2 linked regions of the Oreochromis niloticus genome follow. The protein of the gene in region 2 purifies or fractionates together with the protein of the main gene of each other region. This does not show direct contact. Links are inferred from orthologs where the notes say so. Each region holds a gene or a part of one and is shown on either strand. Other genes may lie near its edges.

Evidence for each region.
Region 1: the proteins of npc1 (region 2) and sigmar1 purify together in Homo sapiens (affinity purification with mass spectrometry; 3 studies listed by BioGRID and IntAct, with this or other methods). This does not show direct contact. The link is inferred for Oreochromis niloticus from reciprocal best matches to the Homo sapiens genes NPC1 and SIGMAR1.

Annotation. Positions count from the first base shown.
Region 1 is NC_031972.2:27,425,354-27,441,020, reverse strand, and holds sigmar1 (sigma non-opioid intracellular receptor 1), read left to right. Parts: upstream 1-9,550; 5' UTR 9,551-9,657; coding exon 9,658-9,802; intron 9,803-9,931; coding exon 9,932-9,983; intron 9,984-10,400; coding exon 10,401-10,549; intron 10,550-11,031; coding exon 11,032-11,124; intron 11,125-12,219; coding exon 12,220-12,449; 3' UTR 12,450-13,928; downstream 13,929-15,667. Other genes in the region: galt (galactose-1-phosphate uridylyltransferase), read right to left, coding at 566-695, 7,220-7,268, 7,457-7,532, 7,833-8,002, 9,074-9,110. UniProt on the Homo sapiens protein: Functions in lipid transport from the endoplasmic reticulum and is involved in a wide array of cellular functions probably through regulation of the biogenesis of lipid microdomains at the plasma membrane.
Region 2 is NC_031982.2:19,875,098-19,890,939, forward strand, and holds the start of npc1 (NPC intracellular cholesterol transporter 1), read right to left. Parts: upstream 7,701-15,842; 5' UTR 7,608-7,700; coding exon 7,530-7,607; intron 5,056-7,529; coding exon 4,924-5,055; intron 4,782-4,923; coding exon 4,675-4,781; intron 4,337-4,674; coding exon 4,191-4,336; intron 3,993-4,190; coding exon 3,825-3,992; intron 3,704-3,824; coding exon 3,454-3,703; intron 2,507-3,453; coding exon 2,424-2,506; intron 2,320-2,423; coding exon 1,949-2,319; intron 1,466-1,948; coding exon 1,239-1,465; intron 912-1,238; coding exon 811-911; intron 1-810. Other genes in the region: egfra (epidermal growth factor receptor), read right to left, coding at 10,545-10,888, 12,497-12,590, 12,714-12,761, 15,279-15,446, 15,560-15,657. UniProt on the Homo sapiens protein: Intracellular cholesterol transporter which acts in concert with NPC2 and plays an important role in the egress of cholesterol from the endosomal/lysosomal compartment.

The sequences.
Region 1 (15,667 bases), on a different chromosome or scaffold from region 2:
TAAAAACAACAGCAGCAACAACAACAAAGCAGCAGAAGTTAACACAGTATTTAGATAGCTGTTCTTATCTAAACAGCATGCATTTTCTGGGCTGGACTGGTTGACACCAAGTATGAGTATCTGAGTATTAGGTGTTATATGAATTTCCATATCTAAGGAATTATGACAACATGCTGAACTGAAACAAAAGGTGTATTTTTTTAACTGCGTCCAAATAAGTGTACATCCTTCAAACGAACAAAAAAAGCTTCCAAAAATATTATTTACTATTTGGCATGTGGCACATTTGAAGTTAGACATCTTACCCATGTCCTGCTTTCTTTGAAACAGCTGTTTGAATTTGTGAATTTGACCGGAGGCGTCATTAAAGTTTTATGTGATCCAATAAAAGACATATTAACGTGAAAAACTAGAGACGGCAGAAAACTGAATGATCTGTGACAGGGTAAAAAGGTTAGCAGTTACAATTTTAGATGTATCCAGCCCTGGGAAAAATAAAATCAATAATGTGACTGAGTGTGTTTGTGTGTGTGTGCGTGTCAGAGAAAGTGAGAATATTGCATACCTGAACCCATGGGTAAATAGTGCCTAGTTCCTCAACAAGCTCCGCCCACTTGTCTATCACCTTGACAACCTCTTCTTTTTTCATGAGAGGGAGCGTGACGTCCGACCAGGGATGGAAACACATGACCTTACTGAGGAAGGCATTTAAAAATGAAAAAAAAGAGAAAAAGAGGAAGGAATGGTGTTAAAAAACTGAAACAGAATCTAACACTTGCTGAATTAATTAACCAGGATCAGCTTCTCATAATTAATTAACATTAATAACTTAACACTGCACTACCAAAAAGAAAAAAAACAAAAACCAAAAACAAGAAAACCTATTATGATGCCTATAATAATGCCAAATTTGAGTCTTCAGAAATTGAGCCTGCACACCAGAGGGTAATGTCATAGTGGCTTAATCCATCTTCTATACAGGCAACAGTCTACGCACTTAAAATAGCATTAAATGCAGATAAGACAGTGGAAATGTCACTAGTTTTGCAGGGATTTGGGGTGATGTGTTCCTTTCGTTGTTACAGGTTCATTTAATATGACACATTACATTGTTGCTGTTGCTCTTTTTGTGAATAATAAGAATTGACTGATACTGTTGTCTTTGTTTTAATATAAAACAGACCCTTGCTCTGTTTTTGAATTCCCTGGTTAATTAAAGCAAAGTGATAATCTGGGGGAAGGTAAAAGTCATTGCTATGCACTTCCCATAAACTGCCTGTCAAATACAGCTACACAGCCTTTGCTTTTGATTTTCTGTTGACTCTCACATTGGCAGTGCTCTGGGGTTCAGTTGAAAAATTACTGCACATAAAAGCAAAGCTGACATTTTGCTCCTTTCAGATTTAGATGAATGTCACAAACAGATATGGATTACAACTATTCGTTGAGTTCAATCTTGTTTTTAAGAGGTAATATTATAAAAAGTGAAGTCAAATAGTCAGTGGAAACAAAATCAGGGGGAAACAGAATGGGACTGGTCTATGAAAAATAGAGCCAAATAACTGAACGCAGAGTAATAACCCTAAAACATGTCTGCAGGAAAAAAAAAAAGAGGATGGATATGTGAGAAAGTGAAGGTGCCATTAATGAATTGTGTATTCTTCATGTCCACTATAAAAGTGAAGGAATTTTTAAAGTTAAACTACCTCACCTGGCAATAACGTCTAAAGTTTAGATTTAAACTATAGTTTTTAAAAAAAAAACGGGGGGGGGGGCAAATTAAACAAATAGAAATATGAATTCTGCGACAGCTGTTTATCAACTATTTGCCTTATTTTTAGCGAGTCTTTCTTTGTGCAACCAAACAAAACACCTTTTTTAAGGAATCAAAATAGTTGTCACAACTATAACATCATATGTTACATTTAATGTGTCAGACTCCTAACGATAATAAAGGGTTATTCAGCTAAGAAAAAAAAGCAAAAAATAAAAAGAATGAGCTTGGTTAACAATGCTTTATCAACTTTGCACAGATGTTAGTTTTGTGTGTGTGTGTGTGTGTGTGTGTGTGTGCGCATGGGTCCGTGCATGTAGTAGTGGTAACTCAAATCCCTACGTCTTCACGACTTCAAGAAGACATATCTCCATGTGTTTGCTTTCAGGCTTATCTACAGTAGCAAGGAAAATCAACTTGACTGTCAGAGTGAGAATAATGAAATTTCTATCAACAGGCAGGCTCTTCTTGGGCCCAAGCAGCTAGTGTGTGATCAATAATTGAACACGACTTTGGTGTTTATGCTCTGAGCAAAACTGAATACTGGTTTATACATTGTTCATGAGAAGGCTAATAGAGGAGATGGGAGCTGGGTGTTTCCAACATGAGTCATATTTTGACCAAAGTGTTTACACAGATATATGAGGGCAGTTAACCCTAAAACTGAATGATTCAAGTTTGAGGTCAAAACATCTTTAAAGTGTATAGTTAAGTTTAGGAAAATAGTAGTTGGGGTTAAGACTAGTTTAATTTTACATTAATGTGGTATGGTATACGGTTGCTTTTAGATCGCCATACAAAACCATCCATCCATCCTCTTCCGCTTATCCTTTTCAGGGTCACGGGTGGGGGGTTGTTTAGGCATTTTAACCAACTTTTGTAAACAAACAGCACAAATTAAACATCTGACACAATGATGCTGATAGAAAGCAAAAAGTCAGAGGATCACTGAAGGTGTCAGCACTTGCTATGAGAAGAGCATAAATTTTATTTATATACATTTTTTTTTTTTTACAACAGCAGTTTTTACTGTGCACCAGTTTGATCAGCTCACCAAACCATGTAGCGCAGCTAAGACAACATCAAGCAGCTGTGAGCTTTCTCTTTTAAAACACTTTACTTTGGGCTCTGTTTTAAAATGCCAAAAATACTTTTTAATGCATGAGGTCCTGTGAAAAATTAAGTACATCCGTATTGCTTCTATAGGAATTAAGGGGGTGAGTAACAGCCAGGTGCTGCTAATAAAACGCACTTGATTAATTGATCTTCAGCAAATGTAATCACCTCTATAAAAGCAGATGTTTGGGCAGATTGCTGGCCTGAAGCATTCAGGTGTTGTTTAACACAATGCAATAATGTTCCCAGGAGTGGATGTTCCAGCAAGTTCACCCTAAGGTCAGACCGTGCAATGTTGAGACAAATTGCAAAAAAACCCCCAAAGGGTACTTATTAGAGATGGACCGATCCGATGTTACATATCAGTATCGGTCCGATACTGACCTAAATTACTGGATCGGATATCGGAGAGAAATTAAAAATGTAATCCGATCCATTCAATATCACAACAGGACTTCACAAAACTTGCGACATAGCGTAACCCAGCTCATAACCTTAGCACGTCGGAGGAGTATGCCTCTCCTGATAAAGTGGCTGTGGCGTGCGAGACCTGTCGGCGGTCTGGTTGAGCATTTGGAGCCTCGCTACGTGCTTCCAAACCGGCATTTAATCTCCGAGAAAGTTATCCCAGAGAAGTAAAGCAAGTGTGTAAGTTCATCTCTGAATGTTTGTAAAGCATTCCCAGCGAATGCCTATCATTCTGAAACTGATCAATGATCAGCTGATCGGCTTTTCTGTCACGACTCCCGTCTCTTGTTTGTTTATCGCCCACTTTGCGCCAGAAAGAGGAAACCAGCGGATAAACAACAGCAGCACGTTTAAGCTTGATAAGCTGTTGTTAGAATTTATTTAATATTACTTTCTACATCAGGATCCTTTTCTACGTAGCTGACGGCTGGTAACTGTGCAGGGGCGGATCTAGCAAGGTTTTGCCAGGGGGGTCGATAGGGCATGAACAGGGAAAGGGGGAGCACAAAGAAATACTTTTCTTTCTTATTGTCATGTCTAGCTTTTAATAAATAATTATCTGAATCTTACAATCAAAGTTTTCACCTGATGTAAAATGTATAGAAATCCATTATTGTATATAGGAACTATTAACTCAAATTTATAACCTACTAAGCTATAGTACTTTTTCCTTTGGGAAGATACCATCTGTGCAGTCTGCAATTCTATTGAAGAAAGATGTTGAATCTATTTAATTATTGTGGAAAAATAATTGATTTCTGTGAGTTTTTTTTTTTTTGTTACACATGCATTAAATTAAGGTTGATTACGTCAATTAAGCATTATGAGGCAGAGGGTGGGGGGTGGTTTGTTTGGTTTTTTTTGGTTTTTTTGTTTGCTCGGAGTTGGCAACCCTATTAGTTAGGTTGCTTAATATTTCCACTAAGTACTCTTTAAAATACCAGAATAGGGAGGATGGTGTAGGCTTAAGTTTATTAGATTGATCAGTATTGCTGATCTATGAAATATTTTGGGTGCAGTGTATTTTTTGCATACAGGTATAACAGAATAGCTTTAGTTTTGTTTTGTTTTTTAAACTTGAGTATGAACTTATACAAAATGCAGCAAAATATTTAAAAAAAAACATTTTATTGATTTTAAAATATGCTATATCGGATTTATATCAGTATCGGCAGATATCCAAATTTATCATATCGGTATCAGACATAAAAAAAGTGGTACTGTGCCATCTCTAGTACTTATCAGACTACTCTACATGTTAAATGTTCATTACAGCAGAATTACAAAAAGACTGAACAAGTCTGGCTTGTTAGGAAGGGTTGCTATGAGAAAGCCTCTTCTCTTTAAAAAAATATAGCAGTATAGCCACTGAGCTAACCTTGAACTCCTCTGTATATCAGAGCAATCTAGAGTCCAATCTGAGGGCATGTGTCGGACATCTGAAGCTTGGGCGAAAAGGGGTCACATTAGCAAATGAAAGACAAGACTCAAGGTGGTTGTAATGGTCCAGTCAAAGTACAAACCCAAATGAAATGCTGTAGCATGACTTTAACAGAGCTGTGCATAAACAAAATTGAGTTGTTTTTTTTTTTTGTCATATTACTGTATACACAAGCTAGCTTGAAAGTAAATGAGTAATTAGATGGAAATTGTTGATTTCCAGAGACATTTTTTCAAGAAATATAAGCTTAAGTTACCTTAAATCTGACACAGCAACAAAACCAAAACACCTAATTATCTCTTGAATCTTCCTTTTGCTTGAAGTTAAATTTAAGACAAAAAGACACCTGTACTGACAATAAATGACACCATTAAATAACTATAATTATTCTAAGGTGTCAACTGACATTGCTATAATTTTTAGCAAATTGCAAAGTCCTTCTTAGAAAAAATCCTGAGCAGCTATACTTGGTTTTCCTTTCTAGGAAAACAAGACACTGTCAGATCTGTAAAATAAAGTGAGACCAATTTCTTGTCACCACAGTGCTGAGAGGGGTGCTATGATAAAGTGTTAAAAACGTTCTCATTTCTTTTGTTGCACTACGACTTTCTATTGTCTTCCATGACCCAGATCCCCTAAATTACATTTCCAATTCTGCACTCCCCTCTAATTGGCACTGAACTTTGCTGCAGGGTACAAAGATCTAGTTTATTTTTCAAGTTTATTACTCTGTTAATATGGCCACAAAAGCATATACTGATCACAGATACACTAAAAGGAAAGCAGCATCATGCTGGATGTGTGAACAAATATGAATACAATCTCACACTGCAAGAAGAATCACACACTCTCACCTAAAGTGAGACGGAGGAAGTAAAGTACCCTAAAATGTACTATATTTTTTAAGTCAGTCACTGCTGTTTCTGTGCTTCATCACATTGCGAGTGTGGCAAGCAACACCTGACGGCCTCTACATCTGCCAGCACATGGGATTTAGAAAGAAAAAAAAAAAAACAAAAAAAAAAACAGTCTTCAGTTTTCAACCAGCACAATATTTTTTGATTAAATCTATTATTCAGTAGTTATGCAACTCTGCTGTCAGACAGAATCAAGCAAGAATTCCCAAAGCACAGGATTGTTCGGGAATGTTACCTTCAGACTGAAAATTATTTATGCAAAAATATCAAAAAACGCCAAAGCACTCTCTATTCATATAAAATTTAAATCCCTTTATTCTCGTGGCATGGTTAGATTTAACCTTCGAAGACAAATAAAGTTTATAACAAAGTAGTAAAATTTATTTTTTAAGAAAAATTTTACTTTGTTCCTATAGACTTAATTTGCCTTTGAAGATGCATTTATGTTATCTGTGTGGTCTTTTTTGTCTGATTTGAATTGACTTTGGTGAATTTTTGGTGATTTTGTTGATTTCTGGGCTCTTACATCTGTCCACTCTTATTGGTTGAGTTTTACTTGTGGAATTTTCCACTTTCACCTTGAAGTTTGCTACTAGTAAAACACCACTTAAAAAATGTTCAACCACTCATTTTGTCTCTTATAAAGGCCTATATGCCACAACCTGTTGGAGTTTTAGGTTAGTTTTTTAATATTTTACCCTGAAAGCGCTCCTTAAACCAATTTGACAATTATATATCTTTGATTCATAGCATAGCAAGAATCATGTGTGGCCAAGTACCCAAAGAGGGAAAAATGTAATCTGTGAGTTTTTGAAATAGAAAATGCTGTGTATTGTATTATAGAAGTGTGCGCTAACAAAGGATTTAGGTCTTTTTTTAAGCTTCTCGGGAGATGTATAAATCCAGCAGCCAGTGTTTATTGAGCTGACTCCTGTTATAAAACTTTCTTAAGCTCACCTTTGTAGAACAAAACAGATACACCCAGGAATAGACATTTTTAGCTACAGAAGGACATGTTATTTATCAGTGTGGATGGATTTAGGAAAATATCACTCATGCACCAAGGAGCTACAAAATAGAGTACTGATAAAACATCTCCATCTGCTGGTTGCACAAAATAACATCACTTTCTAATGTATGTACGGTGGCTTGGTGATTTTGTTTTGCTCAAGTTCAAGATGTCCTGAAAACAGGAAGCATGCAGTGCGTTGATGAACAAAATTAGCGTCATCTAATAGCTGATTATGATGAAGATGATGACAACAACGAATTAAGAGTTGCCTCAGTGTGACTGCTCTGATTGCAGTCATCAGCTTAGATTTAATTAGTCATACATTTGAATGCATCATAATTTTGAAAAGGAACACTGATTAAGATGCATCGTGTCCTAGATTAAATTATAACGCACCAACTGCATATTAATTTATACTATGTATTATACATTTCATTATGAGCACTGCATTTCATACACATATAGATTGAGATATTAAGATTTGTTCTTACCAGACACCCCTTGCAGCTTTAGACTGAAATAATGGATCTTGTTCTGAACCTGAAGAACAAAACAACAATATATACTTTATCATATTTAAGTATTATAACCAAATAGCTAAAGAGCTACACGAAAGTCGAGTTTGCAAGAAAGAAAGAATTGCAGTTACTTGCTTAAATATTTTATTAAAAAGGTACTGCAGCTACTTCTCCTTTTCCTTACAGTATTTAGGCTGCACTACAACTCACCAGGGTCTGGAGCGTCAGGCTGAAGAGCGGGGAAGTCATTCTCAAACACAAAGGTACTGTCATAATCTGGATTCCCCTGGAGAAAAACAGACAGTTGGAGAGATATTAGAAAACAGCAGACAGAAAACATTTTGCTTTCAAAACCCAAGCAGAACGAGGAGTGAAGAAACCTCTTATTTGGAACTGCTGGCAATGTTACAGTGCAATTTAGCATTATGTATGATTGTTAATGTCCACAACATCAATAATAAATGGAGATAAGAATAGATGAACTATCCATGACATTATCGATATGTTTTCCAATGGATGCCTTGTTTGTGGATTTACTACTTGTTGTGATCAGAACCAAAGAATGCTGTTCAATGCCTCTTCTCACCTCTCCATTTGCCCTTTTGTTCCCAGGACAGAGTGGGTTATTTGGGTCATATCTTGGTATGTGCTCCTCAGGTGGTCTTTCAACTTGACCTGCCCAAGGTCTCTTCATGCGGTGGGCGGACACAAGAACCCAGCTGTCCCTAAGAGGGTTGTAACGCAAGTGCTGGTGCTCTAAAGTTACACAAGACAAGTGATAAAATGTAACAAGACAATGTAATAACACACACACACATTATTGAAACCAAAGGCATCAAACATAAGGCCCGGGGGCAAAAATTGGCCTGGCAAAGACTCCAATCTGGCCCCACTGGACAGCTTTGGAAAGCGTGAAGGAAAGCATAAATCTTGGACTTTTAACTTTATTTTCATACGTTTCACAGCTTTAATAATAAAAAACCTCCCCTGTGGGCCATGCTATACCAAAGGAATTAGGTAACAGATAGAAAATTAAACAACAGGAAGTTCCTTTTTGTTCAATAGAAATGTCTGGGTGTTTTTTACAATGGCTACAAAACAAGGACATTTTACGTAAAAAAAAAAACCCCAAAACAGAACAAAAAACTTTGTGTTTTATACTTTTTCTGTAATTTTACACATTTATTTCTTACAATTTCTTTAATTCACTACAGAACAAGTTATTTGCCATGTAGAAAAACTGTGATTTCCTTTTGAAACTGCACTTTTTTCTTATATTAAAATATCTCAAGGTTTCATTTGTGTATCAAACTTATTTACAGTGACAGATCAATATGGGGTGTATCTTACCCACGATGTAAAATGAGTTTGACACCCCCGATTTAAACATTTACTATTACTTATAAGAAACACCTCAAAAAGCATTCAGGAGCAGGTTTTGTAGCTACAACTTGAACTACAGGAACTACAGTCACAAGACAGCGGGCAGAGTCAGCATGTCTGTCAGGCCGACAGGGGAAAAAGTGCAGGGTACAACATAACTAAAGACTTTGTGTAAACTCCTATAACCTACCAGTGAATTCGAGTAGTAAACAAGCCCCGAAGCATGACTGAATGCATTTGAGCTTTAACTGTTTCCAGTGCAGTACCTTTTTGGTAAACAGTGATGAAGAACTCGGGAAATTACACAAGTCATTTTGACGCTTAAACAATAAGGCAAACTGACAAATTTAAGAAGTCCTACTCATTATCCAGTGCCTGTCATTGGATATAGTGAGTGATTGAAATTAGCTTTATAACGTTTGTAAATTCACAAAAAATGCGTACCTTTTGGGTCAAAACTGACGTCTTGCTTCCCGCTCATGTCGGTCACTCACTGATGTTTCACAGCTGTCTCCTCCCCGGTGTTCTTTTTTTGAACCACGAGCTTTCTCTGGACTTTAGCATATGATGCTAAATCAACACGGTCCTCAATAAACCTTGGCCTACTTCCTGTTTTGTTGACAAGCGAAAGGTTGCTATTGTGCACATGCCGGTATGCAATGGCACACTTCTAAAAATCTAAACAAATAAGTAAGTAAATAAGACTGAAAAAGTCAAACTAAGGATAATTGGTCATTAGACTGTTGCCACCCAATACAGCAGCCTGAAATGTTTAGCTTTGGTCAACTGTTTTTTTTAAAAAATATGATATTTTAATGTAAACTAGAAAAAGACGGTTTTGCATTGTGCTGGCAACCCTGGAGTCGCGCGCTGCCTACGCTGCTGAGTCGGCCCATGATTGGCTAAGCGTAAAGATCCCTCCCTCACCTGACCAGGAAGAGGCTGTGAGCGGAGCACCACGCCAGCCTGCCTCCCTGTATGCATGTAGCCAAACCTGTCTGTGTGTGTCTGTGCGTTTTGTTTCAGCCATGTCCCTGCTCAAAATCATTTCAAGACTGCTGGTGTTCGCCGCAGTCACCGTCCTGACCGTGCTGTTGTTGCGGCATTGGTTGGCCAGCAAGCAGTATGTGTTCAACAAAGAAGACGTCGCCAAATTGGCCAAACAGTATGCAGGTGAGTTTGGGTTTGCATGTGAAAAAAAGTTGCTCCTACACTTCATTTTGTTTATATTTGAAGCTAATTTTGGTTGCCTGAACTGCCATATCTGCATGCCCTGTGCATTTTAAATGTGTCTGTTCTCAGGACAGGACCATGAGCAGGCTTTCTCCAAAGTGGTGGTGGAGCTGAGAAAAAGGTAACGACACCGTTACGTGCAGGCTTGCATGTATCAGGCAGCTTGTGGTTGCTTCTGTACAATTTCCACCACTATTAGGTTGTTTAAGCTACTTACTAGCTGCAGCATGATGCACCTTATCTCTTCAGTATGTGCTCATTTCACTTCATTCTTCCTTGGTATGGTATGGATGTCTTATTCACTTTCATTTTTTTAATACTATGTCAAAAATTGGTGTAGTCTAAAATAAAGCCAGAGTGAAAGTTGTCCATAATGATTTCTTTGACCTTGAGGTACTTTCCTCCGATTTTCCTACTAAAACTCAAAACTGGTAAATTTGTACTGAAAACTCTCACTTGGTATTCAGATTATTTTTTAGATATCAGATTATAGTTCTTTAATGTTAAATAAATGGCTAACAAAGTGTATTTGAACTAGGTATCCTGGACACATCCTCCCTGATGAGGACTTGCAGTGGGTGTTTGTGAATGCTGGAGGCTGGATGGGCTCCATGTGTGTCCTCCATGCCTCTCTCACAGAGTACTTGATACTGTTTGGCACTGCGGTGGACACTGGAGGACACTCAGGTGAGGAAGGAGAGCAGTTAAAGAGAGCTACATAGATAGATTCATAGATAGATCAGCTCCAAAAAATATTTTTTTGTGTAAGTTGAAGTAAACATCTGCAGACATAATGGTTTTGGAAAGTGTTTGTTTGGGGAACAAGTTACTCTAGAGCAGGATACTCTGATCTCAAAGTTGAAATCTGCTGGAGTTATTTACAGTATGGTGTCAGATATCAAGGAATGAATTGCCCCTCTTATGATCTAAAGTAAAGTCAGTCTGAAGCACCCCCATTCCAGTCCATGTCCTTACAATAGTGCACAATGGGCTACAACTTGATCCTTGCAATCTAGGAGATGCTGATAAACTGTCCCATTCTTGGTCCCAACAATAATATTTGATTTGTGAGATGATTTACAGAAGACTATTAGAATTGTATGTTTAGAAAACTATAAATACTCTGAATTGTATCATTTTGACTCTTTGCATCTTGCTGTTTTTCTCAGGTCGTTATTGGGCTGAGATTTCTGATACCATTATTTCTGGAACCTTCAGACAGTGGAAAGAGGGGACAACCAAGAGTGAAATATACTATCCTGGTAATGCATTAACTCATTACAATATTCAATTTCGCATTTATACACAATGGAAACTTTAATGTATCTCAGTAACTATAATAGTTTTTTTAATGTTTGTTTTTTGTTTTGTTTTTGCACAAGTCGGCTGGACATTTTCTTTCAAGATTTGTTGATAGAGAGCAGGGATGATGATTTTAATTATGGCAAGTTGTTCAGTTCCTAAAGCAGCCCCAGACCATCACAGTACCACCACCATGTTTGACTGTTAGGATGATGTTCTTTTTATGAAATGGTATGTTATTTTTTTTTTTTTTAAACAGATGTAATGGGACGTAAACCCTCCAAAATGTTAAACTTCTTCAAAACTTCACTAAAATATTTTCCCAAAAAGCTTGAGGATCAAGATGTTTTTGCCAAATGTTGTTCTGGGTTCTTTTGTGACCTCCCGGAATAGTCATTGAGGCACGAGTCATCTTAGGTAATTTTGGTAACCTGCCCACTCTTGGGAAGATTCAGATTTCAAATTTTCTCCATTCATGGATAATGGCTCGTACTTTGGAGTTCCAAAGTCTTAGAAAAGGCTTTGTACCCTTTCCACACTAATAGATGTCAATGACTTTGTTTCTCATCTGTTCTTGAATTTCTTTAGATTGTGGCATGATATGTTGCTTTTTGAGATCTTTTAGAGGACTTCACTTTGTGAAACAGATTCTGTTTAAGTGATTTCTTGATTCATCAGGTCTGGCAGAAATCAGGCCTGCGTGTGACTACTGAAATTAAACTGGTTAATTACCCTCTTATGATTTAACAAGAGGGGGCATTTATTTTTGTCATATCGGGCCAGGTAGCTCTGGATAGCTTCCCATTTTAAATAAAATAATTTAAACGACATTTTTATTTACTTGAATTATCTTTGTCTAATGTTAAAAATTGGTTACCTGAAACATGTAAGTGTAACAAATATGCAAAAGAGAAAAAAAAATCAGGATGTTGGTAAATAAGTTTTCACAGCACAGTATGTTATTAGCTAAACTCCTGTAGTATTATTGGGTGGCAGTAGTAGTAGTAGTAATAGTAATTATTTTTTTCCTGTTCTTTCATATTCTTTACCCACAGGTGACACCATTGTGCATGCTGTAGGAGAGGCTACGTCAGTCCAGTGGAGTGCCGGGACTTGGATGGTGGAATACGGCAGAGGTTTCATCCCTTCCACGCTGGGCTTTGCTTTAGCAGACACCTTTTTCAGCACCCAGGACTTCCTCACAATGTACTACACTTTTAATGCCTACATGAAGGGTTTGCTACTTGAGGCTGGTACACTACTTACAGAAGCTGGAGTTTTCTAAGGCAGAATAGAGTCCTAGATGATTGCACATGGACATTACCATCAAAACTTGTGCTGTGATATTTTCTTCCCAACCACTAAAATCTGGTAGAGGAGAGTCTTGCTGATAATTCAGAGTGCTGACATTTAATATTTTTATATGAAATTGTAGACAATCCAAATTTACATTGGTATAGTTGATTATCTTCATTGACGCTCTTGACCCTCATAAAGCCTATGCAAAAGAAAATGTCTTACTCCATTTCACCTTGTAGTCTTAACATTTCGCATGAGATTTCAAACTGAGCCAAATCACCCAAACAAACACTTCATTCTGAATGGCAGCCTTCCTTACTTTACCTCGATTTTAACAGTGAAACTAAGCATCAGGTCATTAAACATTCCACTGAGAGCTCAGACTGCCTCCAGAGTCAGAATGACTAATAAAAGGAAAAAATAAAAATCGGTATTATTAGGATCCAATTTAAAGATAAAAGCCTTAAAGCTTCTTTTGCCAAATCTATCATTCTTCTGATAAAAATAAGGCAATATATGCAACCAGGTTTGGTTGTATTCACTTCTTCATAACCAATGATTTTTACAAATGAATACTGATATTCAAAGTGTTTTTTTTGCAGGCCAAGGAAAATCTTTCAAAACAAATATGCAATGCTTAATCTGGATTGTAAAACCTACAGTAATGTATATAATGCACAGCTAAAGTCACTATTTTCTCATTAGATGCCAATTTCCACTTTGTGCAGATTCTCTGCAGGTAAGGTCCATTGTAAATGTAGCTGCATTAGGATTCGGGCTCCCTAAGCTACTCTTGGTGAGAAGATGCAAAAAAGAGAAATTCTGTTCTTTGCTTTTAAAGCTTCGCTTGGCATTGGCCACCATTTACCAATTCAAAGCTCACCTTTTGTGTACCGTGTGTCTTTTGAAGCTGTTAAAAACCTGGGAGGATATGCTAATGAAAGCTCTCGTCTTGTCAGCTGTGTGAACCTTGGTGGTTTTATTTTTCTGTTAACCTGTCTCTGCATGAGCTCATCTTCAGAGCTGCAGCATTGTGGCAACCACCAAATTTTTTGACTAGATGTGTGTGGGTTTGACATTTCTTTCTCAGAACTGTGGAGATTAAGGTGGAAAATTTAAATCCTTTCAAACTATAAAGCAAAACATTTACATCACATACTGTATATACTGTGGTAGGACACCCAATGATGTTATTTGGAGAAACTCTTTAAAATGTTTGTGCAAGTCATGGAAGGTAAGAAAATGGGAAAACACGGTTGTATCATACTACAGACCTCTGCTAGGTTTACCTGTAATTCTGTCATTTTCTAATTTTACAGAATGGTTTAATTATGTAAACTTGATTACTTTTTGTTTTGTCAAAAACATTCTGAGCTCAAATAGCCTATAAATTAACTTGAATAATACTGGACTCTGACCAAGCTACTTGGCTTCAGTGTCTGCAACCTCCGTTCCTGGTCTTGAATTTTGCACTGGCCCACTGGGAGGGCTACATGTCTACATCCTATTGTAGCACTGTGGATAAATGTAATTGTGGTGTTTTACACTGCTGCTGATCGTGTTCTCAGTTTGTATCTTTTCATGTAAAACAGCCTTATTTTCAGACTAATGGCTGAACTTACTAAGAGCTATGTAGGGTTTCTAGTCTAGTGAAAATGTGCTGTTACTACACTAACTGATGTTAATTAGAAGCAGCATCAGTAGCAGTGCATTCTCAGATGAATTGTAATACTGTACCAGATGTGCAATTTACTCGGGGTTAAGAATGAAACTGACGGTGCCAAAAGAAATAAATGTCTTTGAACTTAATACAAATGCGTTTTGCTTATTTCTGTCTATACTGTGTATTTAATCAAGGCAACGAGAGGACGACTGGCATATAAACAGTAGCTGTCAATATTTGATCTTGGCTGCTTTATTCATAATAGAATTGTGAAATGACATTTAATATTTCATTGCACACTATTACAATGGTATTGAATCCATAAAAGGTGCCTTTGCCATGATGCTCCAATGCTAAACAGAAGATGAGTGAAATCCCAAACTTGACATCATACACTCCAAATCCTTTATTATAAATACTGCATGGTCAAATGGTATTTAATAAATCTGGTCATCAGATTAGAAGACAAACATATCAGTCCTCATCTCTGTCTGTAAATGTCCCAGGCAACCTGGTTGTGTTTCATATACACAGAGGTGGAAGTGTGATAGACATTTGTGTTGTACATTTGCTTAAAGCTGTAGAATATCCTTGCTGTTGCTTGTTCACCTATTTATGTATACTGTATATATTATACACTCATTAGACAATTAGGTACTTCTTGCTAGTACTGGGTTGGACCCCCTTTTGCCTTCAGAAGTATTCCTCAGTGATTTTGGTCCATATTGGCATTAGAGCATCACACAGTTGCTTCAAATTTATTACGTGCACATCTGTGACACAAACCTCCCATCGCAGCATATCCCAAAAGGTGCTCTACTGGATTGAGACCTGTGACTGTAGAAACCATTTTAGTAAAGCGAACTGATTGTTATGTTCAAGAATTTTTTTTATCTGAGCTGCTTTGTGACATGGTGTGCTATCCTGTTGGAAGCAGCCATTAGAAGATGGGTACACTGTACTCACAAAAGAATGGACATGGGCATCAACAACACTTAGTTGGTACTGAAGTGTCCAAATTGTGCCAAGAAAATATCCCACACAACTTTACACCACCGGCACCCTTTCATGTTGTTTATTGCAAATTCTGACTACCATCTGCACATGACCTTGACATGTCATCTTGATGGCATCGACATGCCTAGATGCCATGAGCTGCTGACATGTCATTGTCTGATTAGATAATTGCACTACCAATCAACTGAACAGGTGTACCTATTAAAGTTTTCAACAAATGCATATATTCCCTTATTCCTGCTAGTCCATTGTGTGTGTGTTACCATGTTATCTTAAATATAGGTTTAATGTCAGCCTAACAGACTGGCTTGACCTCATTACCGTTTTGCTCTTTAAGCTCTTTGGGGGAGATATATTCAGAATCGAAGCTGGGCAACCAGTGCTGAAATACCAGCGTGATTGAGCAGGAGCTGCACCTAATGGGATAGACAACGCTCTCTTTGACTAATTGTTTGGCTTATTCCAGGGTGTTTATGTCCTCCCACTGGTTGCTGGAGTTGTGCAAATAGATGTCTCTGTGTGTA
Region 2 (15,842 bases):
TACGTTCCTATTTTTGTCTTCATTTTCTTCGACAACAATCATGCACTCTAGTATTATTATTATTATGATTATTTTTTAATTTACCTATTTATAGAAATAACTTAATAACACTGAAATTTAGACACGTGTTATTTCCCCTGTTGAATTTTTCCTGCTTTTAACTTGCACAGAATTATTTTTCTTCTTTTTTCATTGTTTTTGATTTGTATGGATTTAATGGCACTTAAAAAAAAAAAAAAAAAATCTATTCCATTATTTTTATTTCTAATTAAATTTTTGGCACTTTAGGCCCTCCATACACTGCTACAAATGGAAAGTTTATATGCAGAGTACAGCGAGTGATCAAAGACCAAAGTGTTTCTTTCAGTGTAGTAAAACTCAATAAAGGAATAATACGAGAAGCTGTAAACCAATTAACTACTGTAGGGAAGAAAAAAACAACAACAATTCCCACAGTTCTGGGACAAACAGCAAGTGATTTGCACTTGAAATTGCTTTTCTATGAAACGTGTTGCATACAAGTTAAATGTATAATTTCATTAAAAGAAAATTCAGAATTGGTGAATATGCAAGTTTTTTTTCCCCCCAATGCAAGAGTTTAACTGCCAGGATGGCGTTCAAACAACTTTTAACATACAAAGCTGTGTCAGTACAACCCCCATTTTCTGATTGAAGTTGTAAATGCTCCCAACTCACCAAATTAATTTAAAAAAAAGAAAAGAAAAAAAAAAAAGGGGGGGGGGGAAGAAAAAAAAAAAAAGGGTTGTCTAGTGTCAAACCGAAGTCATGTGAATATACTTCACAACTCACCATCGTATCCCCCCAGTGCAAGCCAAGGGAAGACAGGGCCACCAAAGGTGCCTAAACAAGGGTCATGTAGCATAGTGGTGTCGTTGAGGGAAGCTGGGGCACTGCACAAGCAAAAAGTAAACAATTAGGTTAAAGACAACCGTCAGTAAGGGATTGCAGAAATCTGCATCAGATAAACATCGATTGCACATGACAGCGAATGAGGAAGTTGAGTGTACTATTTTAAGAAGACACTTTTTTCAGTGACCTCAGCTGCACAAAGGAGATTCTTGTTAACTGCAGGCATCATTTTTCAACTGTTTGTTTGCTTTTTTAAACTTTTAAAAACATTTCTTAGACATTTGACACAAATGTGACAGCAATTAAAACAAGCTGATAAGAGAAGTAAAGGCTAAATCTATCAATAAAACAGATACAAATACTTTTACCTGACACAGTAGAGGAAGTGGTCATGATAGTCAGCCCAGATATAAAATTCATCTCCCATATAGTGATCCAGTGCAGCGTGGCTGTTCTGGAAGTAGTTTAGGACACTAAGGATTGTACAGTTGTCATTGTACGGGGCCAGAGGAGCCAAGCAGATGTCCTTCAGGGTAACGGATTCTTGATTATATGAGGCTACGAGGCCTTCAATTTCAAGCTGCAGATCCAGGACCTGGTAAGTTGAAAGAAAATGGAAAAAGAAAGGAGAACCTTTTAACCACCGTCTGAAAAATTTGCTTGCTTTTCACATGCAAAGCTTCTATTTTATCTAACAAAGGAAACAGTGACGTTGTTACAGAATTTACACACTGACAGCATTGTGACTCGGTGGTTAGCAATGTTGCTCAACAGCACAACAGTCTCTGGTTGAAAACCTGCATGAGTCTGGATCTTCCGCCTGTGCCATTAATGTGGAATATGTTAGCCAAGGATACGCTCAAAACAGAGACACCATGGTGCTGTATTTATTTATTTCTTGATGATAAGAAAGTGACTTGTGTACATTGGGAGAGCATTAAATCATATTTAACCTCATTGAAATATCTGGATGGTTCGTTAATACCTTTTGTTTAAACTTCTATGTAGTTTATGTGTCAAAAATAGTCAAAGTAGACTGAACAGGCTTCCGAAATAAACCAGTCTGACTTCAACTCACCTGATGCAGGAGCTCTTTGTTCAGAACCGAACCGAATGGGATAGATGGTCCTCCTAAATACGGATCGTAGGTCTCATTGAGCATGAGTGGAGTAGTTATGATGAGCTGCACAGTTCTAAAGAAAGGTCCAAAGTGTTTGTCAAAGTAATCCTTCTCTTGACGAGCTTGGCTCTTGGGAGATGACCAGAGCTCAACAGGGTCAGTGGTGATGTGCATGTAGGCCAGGCCCCCAGCTGAGGCTCCCACCAGTACCAGGCAGCAGAAGAGAATGAGAAATGGATGCCTCACGCAGAAGGAACCCCAGGAGCTGAAGAGCATCCGCAGGCCATTCTCAAAACGCTCACCCAGCGTTTCACAGCATGATGCATTTACTGAAAGGTAGGAAATACCTAGAACTTAGTTTGGGCTGTGTGGTAATTACATCAAGACACATTTAGAGAAATAATGCAGTCTCAATGACATTTCATGGCTGTACCTTGATCAGGATCATCACCGTTAAGCGACAGTGGGTTATTACTGTCCAAAATGGGGCCATACTCAGATGTGATAGCTCTTTTCCTGCAAAGAAGGACAAACATACGATATCATCCAAATCTGTTTTCCACTCTGAAATATATTCAGCTACAGTATGTACTGTTTGACACAGGACCCAAAAGTATACAGTCAGAAAGATTTGTTATTTTAACTATTCAGCGAATTATAAGTTGCAGTTACAATTTCAATGTAAAGCACAGACTTATTAAATGCATTAATTTAAGGATATTCCAACCCTTTTTCCCGAGGAGATCATGGGTTTGGTGCAAGCCCCCCTCCCCCCTCTTTTTCTTTTTAAATTTGCTTGAACAATTAGTTTATGACCTTTTACCTGCTGAACTTCAGAGAGTGGCATTTGCATTTGGAAGTTCCGACAAAATGAATTCGCAGGGCAAGTAAACCAGAGAATTCCTATGCTGTAAAAACAACAGAGGTTCCTGCTCTTTTCATATGAATGTCTGGGTGGGTGGGTGAATGAATATGAAAATAAATAAATAAATATGAGAGAGAATATCAGGAGTGGGCTGAACGGTCTGGTAAACTTGTGGGAAAAATAAAAAAAATGAATCACAAAACTTGGCAACATGAAAAGGCTCGAGTTCCAACACAAGGCAAAAGTGGTAGATGGTTGCAAGATCCTTTGAACAGTACTGATAATTTAAAAGAATCACGTCAACTCTTTAGACAGACAAACCCCAAATCAGCATGAGTGACGATGCATTTTCCCAGATGAAAACCAAACCACAAGCAGAAAAAAACAAAACAAAACAAAACTGACAACTGAAATCAGCTGGCAAAGCATCACAAACCTCTTCACACAGTCATCGCCTTTACCCATCATGCGTGTGCAGTCAACCCTCAAGGCCTATCTAGTACCAGAAAAACCCTGCTTAACCTCGAAGTGTGTCATCATACAAATCTCTCCACATCCAACTATACAGTGTGTGTTAGAAGCTAAAAAAGTCCATTACCTGTAACACCAAACTCCCAGAAGAACTCCAAAAAAAATGAGCAGGAAGGCCATGTAGGAGAGCCACATGATGACGGCCATGGCATCGATACCAAGGATGGTCCATGGAGGCGGGAGCGGTGGAGGTACGGGTTTCGGGCCGCAGGACTTGGTGCAGTCCTGACAGGAGCACGGGCCTGAACCATCGTCCAGGCTTTCGTTACAGGCGTATGTATTGTTGTTCATGGGAGTGTAACCAGCCAACGGGACATCTAGAGTAAAGACATTGCACATCACAGGACAAAGAGGGACCAGACACTTAAAAATACTCAAGCTCAGAAAACTACTGCTTTAAAAACAAATTTTAAAAAAAAGTACTTAAAAAATACTGACCTGTGAATACTGGCTCGATGGGAAAAGGGGCCTGTCCATTCTTGGTACTGAACATGTACTGGATCCAGTTGGTAGCATTGCATTCTTTTGCGGTCTTGCCACACAGAAGAGATAAGGCCTTCACATTGCTAGATGGTGCCTGGACATCCTTGCATGCGTTGTACATGGCTGGCAGAAGTCAAATGACAGAATTTTAAAAACAAGGCAAAAAACCCAAAAAGGTGGCATATAAATAATTAAGTCAACTCCAAATTTAAAATGTTATAATTATCAGTCACCAAAAATTAAACAATTACACAAGACTTTATATAGAACTGATAAAGCTCCCTACTGTTACAATACTGGGAATTCTGGCTAAAAACTCACCGTTAGAAAATGTTTGTCCAATATAGTATTCCACTGCCCTTACGTCTACGCCAGTAATATTGGTGACATTCATAAACTGACTCTGGTGGGGACTGCATGTCAGCTCACAGAAGAGGTTCATGAGATTGTAGAAACACGCCGGGCACCTGCAGGCAGACGCACAGTCAGACAGAAACAAGGAAACAGATTTGCTGCTATAACTCAAAATAATAAAACAAGTTCAAGTGTACAAGTCTGTAAAAGTTTCTTGGAGAAAACAAAAGTGTGCTGACATAAAATGAAATTCCTTTGGCCTTTGAGCAAGTCCACATCTAAACCAATTAACTGGAAAATGCAACGTTGACACTTGCAACATGTAAGACTGTCAGTATGCTGTGTGTGCCACTGCAGAGTTTATCATCAGAAATTTCAAAAAGAAAAAGGGAACAACGATGCCAAGCAGATCATGTGTTCTGGCAGTTTATTATATAACATCTCTGCATACCGAGACAGGAACTGAAGTGGCAGCTGGAGACTGCCTTTGAGGGTTCGCAACTGGTCAGCGTTGCAGCAGAGACTTTTGTTTCCATAGTCGTACCCAGGACAGAGCTCCTTCATATACAAACACAAAGAGAATGATGACACTTTATAAGAGTATTTCTGTAAGAGGAAACCTGTGGGATGCTTTAGGTGTCAACAATTTGAGCAATAAGAGAAAACAAAACAAAACAAAACATTGAAGGGCTGTACGTACGGTGAGAAGCTGATAACCATCAGGTTGTAGTGGCATAGGTGGACCAGTGTAGTTGCAGTTGTACTTTTTTCCAGCCACCGTCGACTCACCGCACTCACCGTACCACACACAGTGATGGGCCACAACATGATACTTGTAAAACAAGAAAATCAGAGGTCATTTATTTAGTGATTGTAGAGAAAGCAGCAGTGCAAGTTTATGGTCGTTTCAGCTGCACAGTCCAGTAAACAACATGTTTGGTTTTTTTTGGGTTTTTTTTTTAACTCATGTGACTCAGCTTCAATTTTCACCAAGTGAGGATATGGTCAAAACCAAGAGGGCAAAGAGAAAGCCCAGACACATTTAGTTTCTCTAAAGGCTGCAGCAGACCATATGACTTTGTAGACCGATGACCTGACTTCCTTTAGATACATTTCCGTCTCAAAGACTTTCAGAGTGAGTCTGCTGTGAGGGCTGCAGAGATTTATGAAAAGAAAAAAAGTGTGATTAAATGTAATTGCGAAAAGTTTTCAAGATTAAATATCAGCTCAGGATGTTGGAATGAGACTTAAAACAGTGCCAGCAGTTAGAAATGCTAGCACTTACACAGTGATTTTTTTATGATGCGTCTCACTCACTCTCAATCTCTTTTTTCTATAATGTCTAATATTCACACACACTAACTTAAACTTGGGTTCAGCATTGTGCCCAGGCTGGGGCTAACTGGGGAATTGATCTACCTCCTGAGCCACAGCAGAAGTGGGTGGCCCTTACGAGCGTTCAAATATGTGTGAAAAGAGACCACACCTTAACAGAGTCACATTTATGTATTCTTGTATTTGTGTTTGAGAGTAATAAGAGTTCATCGGTACGTCACTGCAGATTCTCACTTCCCTTGCACAAACGCAAAGAGTGGCCACATTTCTCTCTCTCCGTTCCTCTCCTGTCATCCCTCCAAGAGGGTGAAGAACTGAAGTGAATAGAGGGAGGTTCCCTTGGTTTCACTCCTCTCCGCCAACTTTTCCTCCAACAGACTGTGTGACTTTGATTGAAACTGCTTAAGGGGATTTAACAAATTTGGATGCAGACGACATTTAACAGAGTTAAATATCAGACCCGTCTCATTTCCTGTGTTTCTAGTATCTTGTGCTTTGCATGTCTGAAAATAGTCCCCTCACTTCTGCAAACATGTTTCCTTTTCATCTGGTATTTTAAAGAATACCCTTTGAAAAGCAGACAGACACATTTCTCAGTTTTTGTTTTCCAATCAGTCAACCATGGAGAGATACTCTTACATAAAGATTTAAAACTAAACATTTTTTTTCTGTTTATTCAGCATCAGTGCGCTCTCACATGCTTTTTTCGTTCCGATGAGTAACTTAGGGAAGTTGATTCACTTACTCCACAAACTTTTATGGGAAAGCCTGTCACACTTTGTCCTACTCGTGTCTTGTGGTGCAAAGATGACACTTGGCATTAGAATATCACTAAAAAATTGAAAGTGCAGCCAGGGCTAGTGACCAAACTCTGCATCTATCGAAATTAAGTCTTGTTAATTCAGGGTAAAAAGCAAAACTCCGACTGGGAATATTCAGAGAAATTCACCTCAACTCAGGAGCCATGCACACTCAGAGGCTTTGCTAAAATACTTTCAGCTTCATCCACAGCAGCCACAAATCAATACTCTTTTACTGATTTTGACATTCCTGCTGCTTCTGTCCGGATATCTTATCCTAAAGAGGTAATGATTAATCATTCTGGTGTTTTAGCAGAATTTCAAAAAAAGTGCAGACAGTGGACTGACCCAATTACATCACGAGGAGGAGAGCAAACAATGCAGTGATAGGAGCTGGGAGGCTGAGCATTATCTACATTGATTAAATCACAGACAAGATTTTTTTTGTCTGCTTTGATCAAAAATCTCTTAAACTGATCTTAAATAATTTTATGGGTATTTCTTAAGGAGATGTAGTAATTTAAAAGTTTATCAATACATGCTGAAGTTGAAGCTGGCACACAAAACTGTGCTTTTTTTTTTATGTGAATTGATGTTAATCTCAAAATTAACCCCAGCAGTTTCAAGTCTCATGAGCTTCTGTATTCTCTCTTTGCACCATTTTCTTTTAACCAGCTCCGCGGTTACTACATCAGCTACATTACGTGTAGTTCAAATACCTGATACATCCAAATAGAAAGTGAATTTTTCACCACAGCTATTCTTTCCTACTACCTAGCTTTTAACTCGCAGGTTTTGATCACCGTTGACAGGCTTGAGATTTTAGCGACATTTATCATAGCTATGATGACACTTCGGGAGACATTAGTCAGCACACGAATCTGGTTTCGACATTCGCTGAACCTAGGACCTAGAACCTGTACACGCACCGCCAGTCTCATGTTACTCCGCCACAAAGCAGCAGTATCAACCCCAGCTATATGCTCAAACCGACATTAAGCCAATTATCGGCTAATGCTGTCTTCAATATATACAAAATAGGGTGAGCACTTTTAATAGCTCGACTCAGCCTAAACCTGAGTTTCCCTCGACAACTGATAAACAAACACTAGCTACGCCTGAGCTGAGTCATTAAACAGTCACGAGAGCAGTGACGTTAAATCAAACTTACCGATCTAAAATAACCCTCGGCCAGGAATATAACGAGGAAGAGCAGACTTAAGAAGCTTCTCCCTGCCATGAGCCCCATCTCGGTGCCTGAAACGATCAAATTGAACTGAACGCTCAGGTAAACTTTGACATATCCTCACAACCGTCTTCTTCGTCTTCTTCCTCCCACTATTTATTTGGGGCGGAGATAAATATTTATCCGAGCGCTGCCCCCTAGCGACGAAGACGGCCCACTGCACCACGAAAAGGAACTTCCCCATTTAATTTAATAATCCCCATTACCTTTTTTTTTATTGTCTTCACGTGAATTCACATGATTAAACTAGGGATTAGAGTGTGCTTGAGTCAGATAAATTTGGGTTGCAGTGATAGACATCTGCTTGCTACAGCTTACACCATAAAATATTTACCTTGTTTTAAGACAATAGAGAAATTTACCTTATTTAAATTATTTAACCTTAGCTTATAAGGGGAAACCATAAATACCATATAATATAATATAACATTTTTTTTTTTACATCTATGGAACATATCATACAGTAGTCAATCATCCGTATCAGTTTACCACTCACAGCCCTACCCTGACCTATGTCATAAATACAACCATTAAAAAAGTGACTGTACTTTATGTGAATATGTGTGCCAAGAGTTTGTTTGTTCCAAGATTTGTCCCGGGGTTGATGTGGCATTCCTTGGCCTTCCTTTTCCCAACTATTTTTAAACACTGCCAACCAGGAAGTGAGCATTTCTAGTATATTCTGATACCACAAACCACATGTGTTTTCAGCATTCCTTTGAAACACACAAGTTTGAATATTTTACCAAAACAGGGCAGAGTTCTGGCTCATGTGTCACCTGAACAGCTTTACTGTTATAATTATACATTCTGGAAATGTCCAAAGACAGGACAGAAACTTCAAGAAAGCAGAGGACATTTCCGCATTTCTCCTGAAGCCAAACGATTTAATTTACCTTTGATCCTGCTGTGATGTTACTGGCTCTCTGCAGTCACAAATCTAATTTAAATAATTCTTTCCTGCAGGCCGACATTTTAATTTCAAGTTTTTCTGCCCACAACCCAGCAGCCATTACCTTATCTCATGTCCTGGTACTGCAAGAAACCTTTTGTGTTTTTTGTAATGACTCTGTTTCCCTTCACATTCCTAGTTTTTGAGGTCCACCAAAAGTCGTCTGCTAGGACAGAAAAAAGTGCATAAGCGACATATAAACCTGTCATTTGGTCTGCCGAATAAATTGAATGTTTTAGTCTATGCACACAGCTAAAATTCAATCAAGAGCATATCTTGACGTCCAGATCTCTTTAAAGCTGTGAGTGGAACACCTTAATGCATCGTTGTTTCACTAAAACAGAAACAGGAAAGCATTCAGGCTGTGCTGAAATAACAACAAACAGGAGACATGTCCATAGAAAATAAGATTTACTCATTTACACTTTTGAATGAAATAATCACAATTCAGGAATAAGTGCATATTCACATATGATATGACAAAACTGTGTACTGAGTATAAATTATAGGCGACTATGCCGGGTTATATTACAGCATACACACTGTTACCTGTACATGTACCTGTGTAAAATCTGCAAAGGTAGGTTTACAGGCTGCTACAAAACTATATTCCCTTAAAACTAGGAATAGATATTTGCGAGGTTTAATGCTGCTGCAGGACTAAAAAAGGCTTTAAAGCTAGGAACAGATTCATAGATGCATTGTCAACACTTTGTGCGAAACAACAAGGAACCAGCCAAAGGGGTTCTGGTGATAATAACAGACCACGGGCGTCAGAAACATTCATTTCTAAAATATGTCCCAGGGAAGTGCAACTACTGCTACAGTTCAAACAATTTACTCAAACGGCCTAAGACAGGTCAACCAGCATTTTAAACATGGTACAAACAAGACAAAAGTACTATATATCTAGATCACAACTGGTGCTGCTGAGTTTTTTCCCCAACTTGTCTATCTATGACGCCGTTTTTGCTTGTCAAAAAAAAACAAAAAAAACAGCTCTTGCTGAAAAGTACTCAGTCATGAGGGCTACAAATGACTTCCTTAATACTCAGACTTTAGTATGACACACTGATAAAAAACCTCAGACTATCTCGCTTTGTGGGTCTCCACAAATATGCTTCATGTTACAAGAACGCTGCCGATTCTGAGCTACAAAACACAGCAGGACGAATGGGAACATTTGCTGTATTTACCATCACAATCTCCACATAGTTATGACAGGGAAAAACAAGAAGCTCAGCTCTCTTGTTGTATGCCAGGTGATGCAACAGTCTTTTTTAATACATACAGAATTAATTTAGAACATAAAGATCACACATTAAAATGACAATTCACCAGAATTCCCCTTTATGCCGACTGTACATCCCCTACATTCCAAGGTATCTGACTCATCCTCCAGGAGGGGTGCCAAAGGAATTCAGGGGAATCTTTAAAAGAAACTCCCTTTAATCTTTTTGACTTCACCACAGAGACATGGCCTATAACTAGCGAGTCTACAACGTATGTACCTCAAGTTGTGTTTTTGGGTTGACCTGCCCGCTTCGGCGTTCTTGAAATGTTACCGGAGGTGTTTACACGCTTTTAATAGCATTCCTCCACCAACACATTTGGATCACAAAATCTTTTGTGCATAGTATCTACACATTTCTACTTCTCACATTTTCAGAAGAGAGTTTCCCTTCCTGTCAGGAGGTACGTCACAAAGGTGGAGTCTATCTGTTCTCTTAAGGTCAGCTGAGACATGCGAAACAACTTTTGTCATTCTCATTGGTAGTTTGGAGGTGGTGTGAAAAAAAAAAGTCTTTGGAATGAGACTGGTTTAACTTGAAGGCATGCCAACAATGCTGCTCAAACTGTCAGCTGACTCCATACGATAGGACAGAGTAGGGTGGTACCACTCAGCAATCCAGCCAAGATACTGAAGATAACGCCTTTCATTAAAGGAACAGAAAGTAGTCTCTTATTTCTTGTCACATTCCACCAAGTCAGTCCGGGCCCAGGTACTCTGCATTCTCCGCTGCCGGTATGTGTCCATTGGTGTGGGTCTTGAAGGTGGGAGTGAAATCCTGTTGGTAGTCGGGGTTGTCTATGCTTTGCTGAGGCAGGTATTTCTCAATGCTGTGGACCGTGCCGTTTGACGTGAGCGGGAGGACGGCCGGGGACAGAATCTCATTGAGATATTCTGGTCCGGCGGCCCCGTTCTTAAAGTAGTTCAGGTACTCTGTCTCCGTATGGTCCGAGGAGATGGTGGGAAGAAGGGTGCGAGGTGGACCGGGATGCTGGTAGATAGGATTCACCACATCTGAGATGGGAGTCTGGTTTATGTAGCCTGCAAGAAAGACATTTACATTAACGAGGGCACCAGACAATTTCTCTTTCCATAGGAAAAAAGTAATGATCATAACAGGAGAGCCGCATGCTTTAGGGTATTTATTTATTTAGACCAACTGACTATTTAAACATGGCATGAGTGAAGGCTAAAAGATGAGTCATGACATGCAGTAGAGACCCCCGGTTTGATGCGCCATGAGCTGAAACCATCAGTGCAGATCTTTTCCCAAAGCTCCCAAATAATGCTGTAATCTTGACGTTGAGTTATTTGCATATATTAGAGCCATTTCTTATATTTTGTAACTTTATTGTATTATTTAATTTAGTTCAGTCTGTTACTGTCCTTATTATCTTGGAGCCACTATAACCACATAATTTTCTTAGGGATTAATAAAGTATTCTGATTCTGAAGATGAAATGGTACAAATCTACAAATCTATGCAGAAAGGCTTTAATAAGACCCATTCTATCCAACAACGAAAGTCTTCTTTTTCTTGTTTTTCTTCTTCTGCCTCGATCTCACCTTGTTCCTATCATCCTCATCATCACTAACCCTCTCTCATTACATCCATGGCAGCTCCATCGCTCACATCCTTTGTCCAGTATATCCACTATCCCTCCTCTGCACATGTCCAAACCATCTCAGCCCTGCCTCTCTAGCTTTGTCTCCAACCCTGAGCCGTCCCCCTGATGCACTCGTTTCTAATCCTGTCCATTCTTTTCACTCCTGATGAAAACTCTGCATCAACTCTGCCACCTCCAGCACCACCTCCCTTTTTTTTGTCAGTGCCACCGTCTTAAGACCATACATCATAGCAGGTCTCACCACCATCCTGTAAACCTTCTCTTTCACACTTCTATCCTTATCTCACAAATCACCCCTGACACTTGTCTCCACCCACTCCACCCTGCCAGTACTCTCTTGTGCACTGTCTGATCTGTGGATGGTCGACCCCAGGTATTTCAGCCCCCTTCGCTACTCTTCTTCTCACATCATCCCTGCTTCACCTGCCTCCCTCTCATCTCCAAAGAAACTGGTTTGGATAATCCGATTTGCTTTCATATTTTCAGGTGTTTTCTTAAATTTGATTATTTTACTGCATCTCTTTGAGTATTTTACACTCTTATTGCGTCATTATATGCTAGATGGTTTTACAGGCTGAAGGATAATGAAAGTCACAAGTAGCCAAAAAGACAAGGGGACATGAAGAGGTGTGGCACGTCAAGGTTGATTAGCATTAAAGACACATATGAAAAAGCCTTACAACGTCTGACAAAAAGAAGCGGTCAAATCACGGTGCAGATGGTAATAATAGTTGCTCATAAATTCTAATGCCTGATTGCTAAGCATTTCTCATTTTAAGTCCCCCACTAGAGGTTCTTAGGCTAAAGATCTGAGTGGTAACGCTAATGTAACTAGTAAACAATAGATGGGTTACTGCATGTTCTGCTAACAGCATTACAAGAAGAGGGGAGCAGTACACTTGTTGGCCACTAGATGTCCCCGTTCCTCACTTAATCACACAAAGGACGCAGAGGCAAGCCATGCTGAGATTTCTCTTGAACTAAATTAAAAAGTAATGGCATTAAGTCGAAGGTGACTAACCTGGAGCGGGCTGGAAGGCCTCATCGAGAAATTTGTCTGTGGGGTCTGGAATATATCGCAGGGCCATGCTTCCATCTCTGCTCGGAAATCCGTTCTGTAACAAAGAGTGGAGGTTTTCAGGGTTGTGACACTCCCTGTGAAAATATTGCAAAGAGGCCAGCACAAAGAGAAAAATCCTTTTCTTTACAGGTATAATAAGGGTTTAATGCATTCTCACCAGTAAGCCAGTTCTGCTGTGGCACGTCCCGATGCTGCTGTTGAGGCTCTGAAAAATAGGTACGGCAAACGTTTTGTTAATCATCAAATGATGATGCCACATCAAATGCGACACAGGAAATTGTGTTTTATGAAGCCATAACATAATTAGATAATCCTCTATAAACCATAAAGCATCCACTGAGTGAAGAGGAAGGTTTAACATTTTATTAAACAGGCATAATGCACCGTACAAAGACAGCCTGCTTTGTTTAGTTTCTGGAAAATCATTTTTTTAATCTCTTGGTTTGGTTTATTTTAATTTTATTCTTATTTTTTTTTACTGCATGTTTCATTTGGACACAGGGATGGCAAGTTCTCTCTGAACTGTGACATGAAAGTGTTTTTATGGTCCCCGAGAAGTTGCCATTCTTAGTACAAGCTGATAGGGATCAAAATAAACGTTCGCCATGCAGATTCATATGCATTCAGACAATCTGACAAGCTTTGCTGTGTCTAAGTCAAAGGGCTGTGAGCGGCATAAAACCATGAAAAATGGGAAAACAGGGAAAACAGGGTGACAGCTGTGGCAATGCAATTACTTTCAACAAGAAAAGGAAATTAAATACGCTGAAGCACTGACCATGTGGGAAAAAAAACGAAAGAAGGCCTTACTGGGCCATGTCCCAACAGTAATATTACAAAAACAGACCTATTCTGAAGTTTTATTGGACAGAAATAAAAAACAACAAAGGAAAAAAAAAAGGCGCCTGTAAAGGTAATCAAACCTGAAACCTCATATGGACTAACCAGGCTGTCAGTGGCCGGCAATAATCCCAGGTAAAAGAGCCAGACCTACGCATGGCCTTCACTGAACCTGCAGTAAAAGAGTTCTCCTTATTCCACCTTCATCAATCACAGGACAACTGGGAGGAAACGTGGGAGAGGCGCTGATTAAGGAGGGCGAGTGGGTGGTAGTCACGACAGGCCAGGTAAACAGAAGCAGGGCCGCTGGGGTCAAAAACAACCTTTTCCCACTTCAAGTCAGTAAAATTAGTTAAATTCTGTCTAAACACTTCTGGTAGGCTGAGTTTAGCAGCTGCAACTCTGTTTCTCCTGACTGAAGGCAGGAGCAATTGTTTTCAACACAGTAAAAGAAAAAAATGACTGTGTTTATTTCCATCCAGACTCACAGGGTAATGATTTATGCCGAAATCTCATTTCCCCAAAACACAGTTAACGCAGCACAATTACATTTTCAAACAGTTGACTGCCTGTTGGTAAAGTGTTCACAGCTAAAGCTGTGTGAACCAAGAAGGTCAGTGTGAGTGAATCTGGTGTGGGTGTGTGTCTGTGGTAAATGCACCATTACATGGCTCATTAGGAGCCTTACAGCTCACAGCACAAAATACAGTGGCAATATTTTGCATGTGGATCCCGTATTTGTGTAAAAATCTTTTAAAATTAGAAGTGAACGTGCTGAAACAGGTCAGCAGTTCAGCATTTGGCTTCAGCCTTGTGCTGATAGAGGGACAGCAAAATATTTATATAAGGAGAGGATATATTGTAAGTATATAACGGCTCTTTCTGTGTCTATAGTCATAATTGCATCAATTTTGACAAGATCCATAACACCACTGCCTGAAATTCAGCCCCAAACATGACAGAGCCTCCAGAGTTTACTGAGGCTCACTCACTTTTCCTATTTCCCTTCATAAAAAATGGCAGTAGACACTGAAAAGCCAGATGCATCTCTCAGATCCTGGATTTTTCAGACACTGTTCATCTGCTGTAGACAAAATGCTTGAAGACACAATTTAAAATAAGTTTTCCTAAGTTGTCTGTTATGTGTAGACACCACTGCCTCATCCCCTGAGTTAGGTGCCTTTTTATGCTTGAATGACACATTATTAAGTATTAAGTGGCTTAAAAAACCAAAAAAACATTCCTTAGAAATGGATTAAAAATGAGTGAAAGAGCAGCAAATGAAAAACTTACTAAACCTTTCAGAAAGTCTGGAGAACTATTGCTCAAGATCACTTACAAAAGTACAAGACAGTCTGGCTCCTTGGAAGGAAAATGTGATGAAATGAAGGATTGCTCAAGACTTTTGCACAGTACTTTATTTCCTAGGATTCACAGCAGCTGTGACTTCAGGCGTTTGATTACTAGGCGCACACAGCACAGTCAGTTTGTGTGATGTTCACAAGAACAATAGAGTGGGTTTCTGGTGAACCGCGTCACCTTGTGGGTGTAACAAGGAGTAGTCAGTACTCAGTGTGACACCAACGCAAGTCGTGATGATTTCCCCTCTCGTAATTACATCATTTTTGATTTCACTTTCACTTGAGCTGCACTAGTTAAGCAGGAGCACGGTCTCCAAGACTCAAACGTTTTGCATAATTTCTAATGATTTTTAGTTTTACTCTTACACGCCTGGCCTGACAAAGCAGAAAAGCTTCACGCCATTTCTTTTTTTTTATTTCTAAAGTGTAATGATTGCTTGATTTATGAGATTTGTCTAAAATCTAAATTACTGTAAACCACGTGGACAGATTTGATTTTACATTTCCATAAAGGCGCTTACTGTTGAGTGAATCAGTGGGGTGCGGGAGGTACTCGGGCTGCTGAAGAAGCCACGCTGTGGCACCAGATATTCATCAGCGTCCACAGCATCCTCCATGTCCTCCCCGCTGATCAGGCTGCGGTAGAACTTAGTGTCTGAAGGACTCGGTAGGTGCATGCGGTCATCCCCCTAAAATCAAAGAGTTTACCCTTTTTGTTGTACGTAACAAATCACTGCAGCTCATCATCAGATATTCTGTATATTTAAGCAATTTTAAAGAAAGAAGTGGCTTAAAATTATACCTGGATGACAAGATAACGCGGTGGATCCCGAGCCATCTTTGTAAACTCAGCTATGAGTTCTCGGAAACGAGGCCGGCTGTCTGCATCAATCATCCAACCTGCGCACATGCATCAGCAGAGATCATCAGGGTGGGTCGACTCAGTGACATGAAACTTTAAATTTGTGAGTACATTAGCAGACATAATCTGTAAAAACAGCGGGTCAGCAGGAAGCAGAACTGGGAAAGACGGATGATAAAGACAAAACTAAACTCTTTAGAGCCTGAACTATGAAACAACTGCC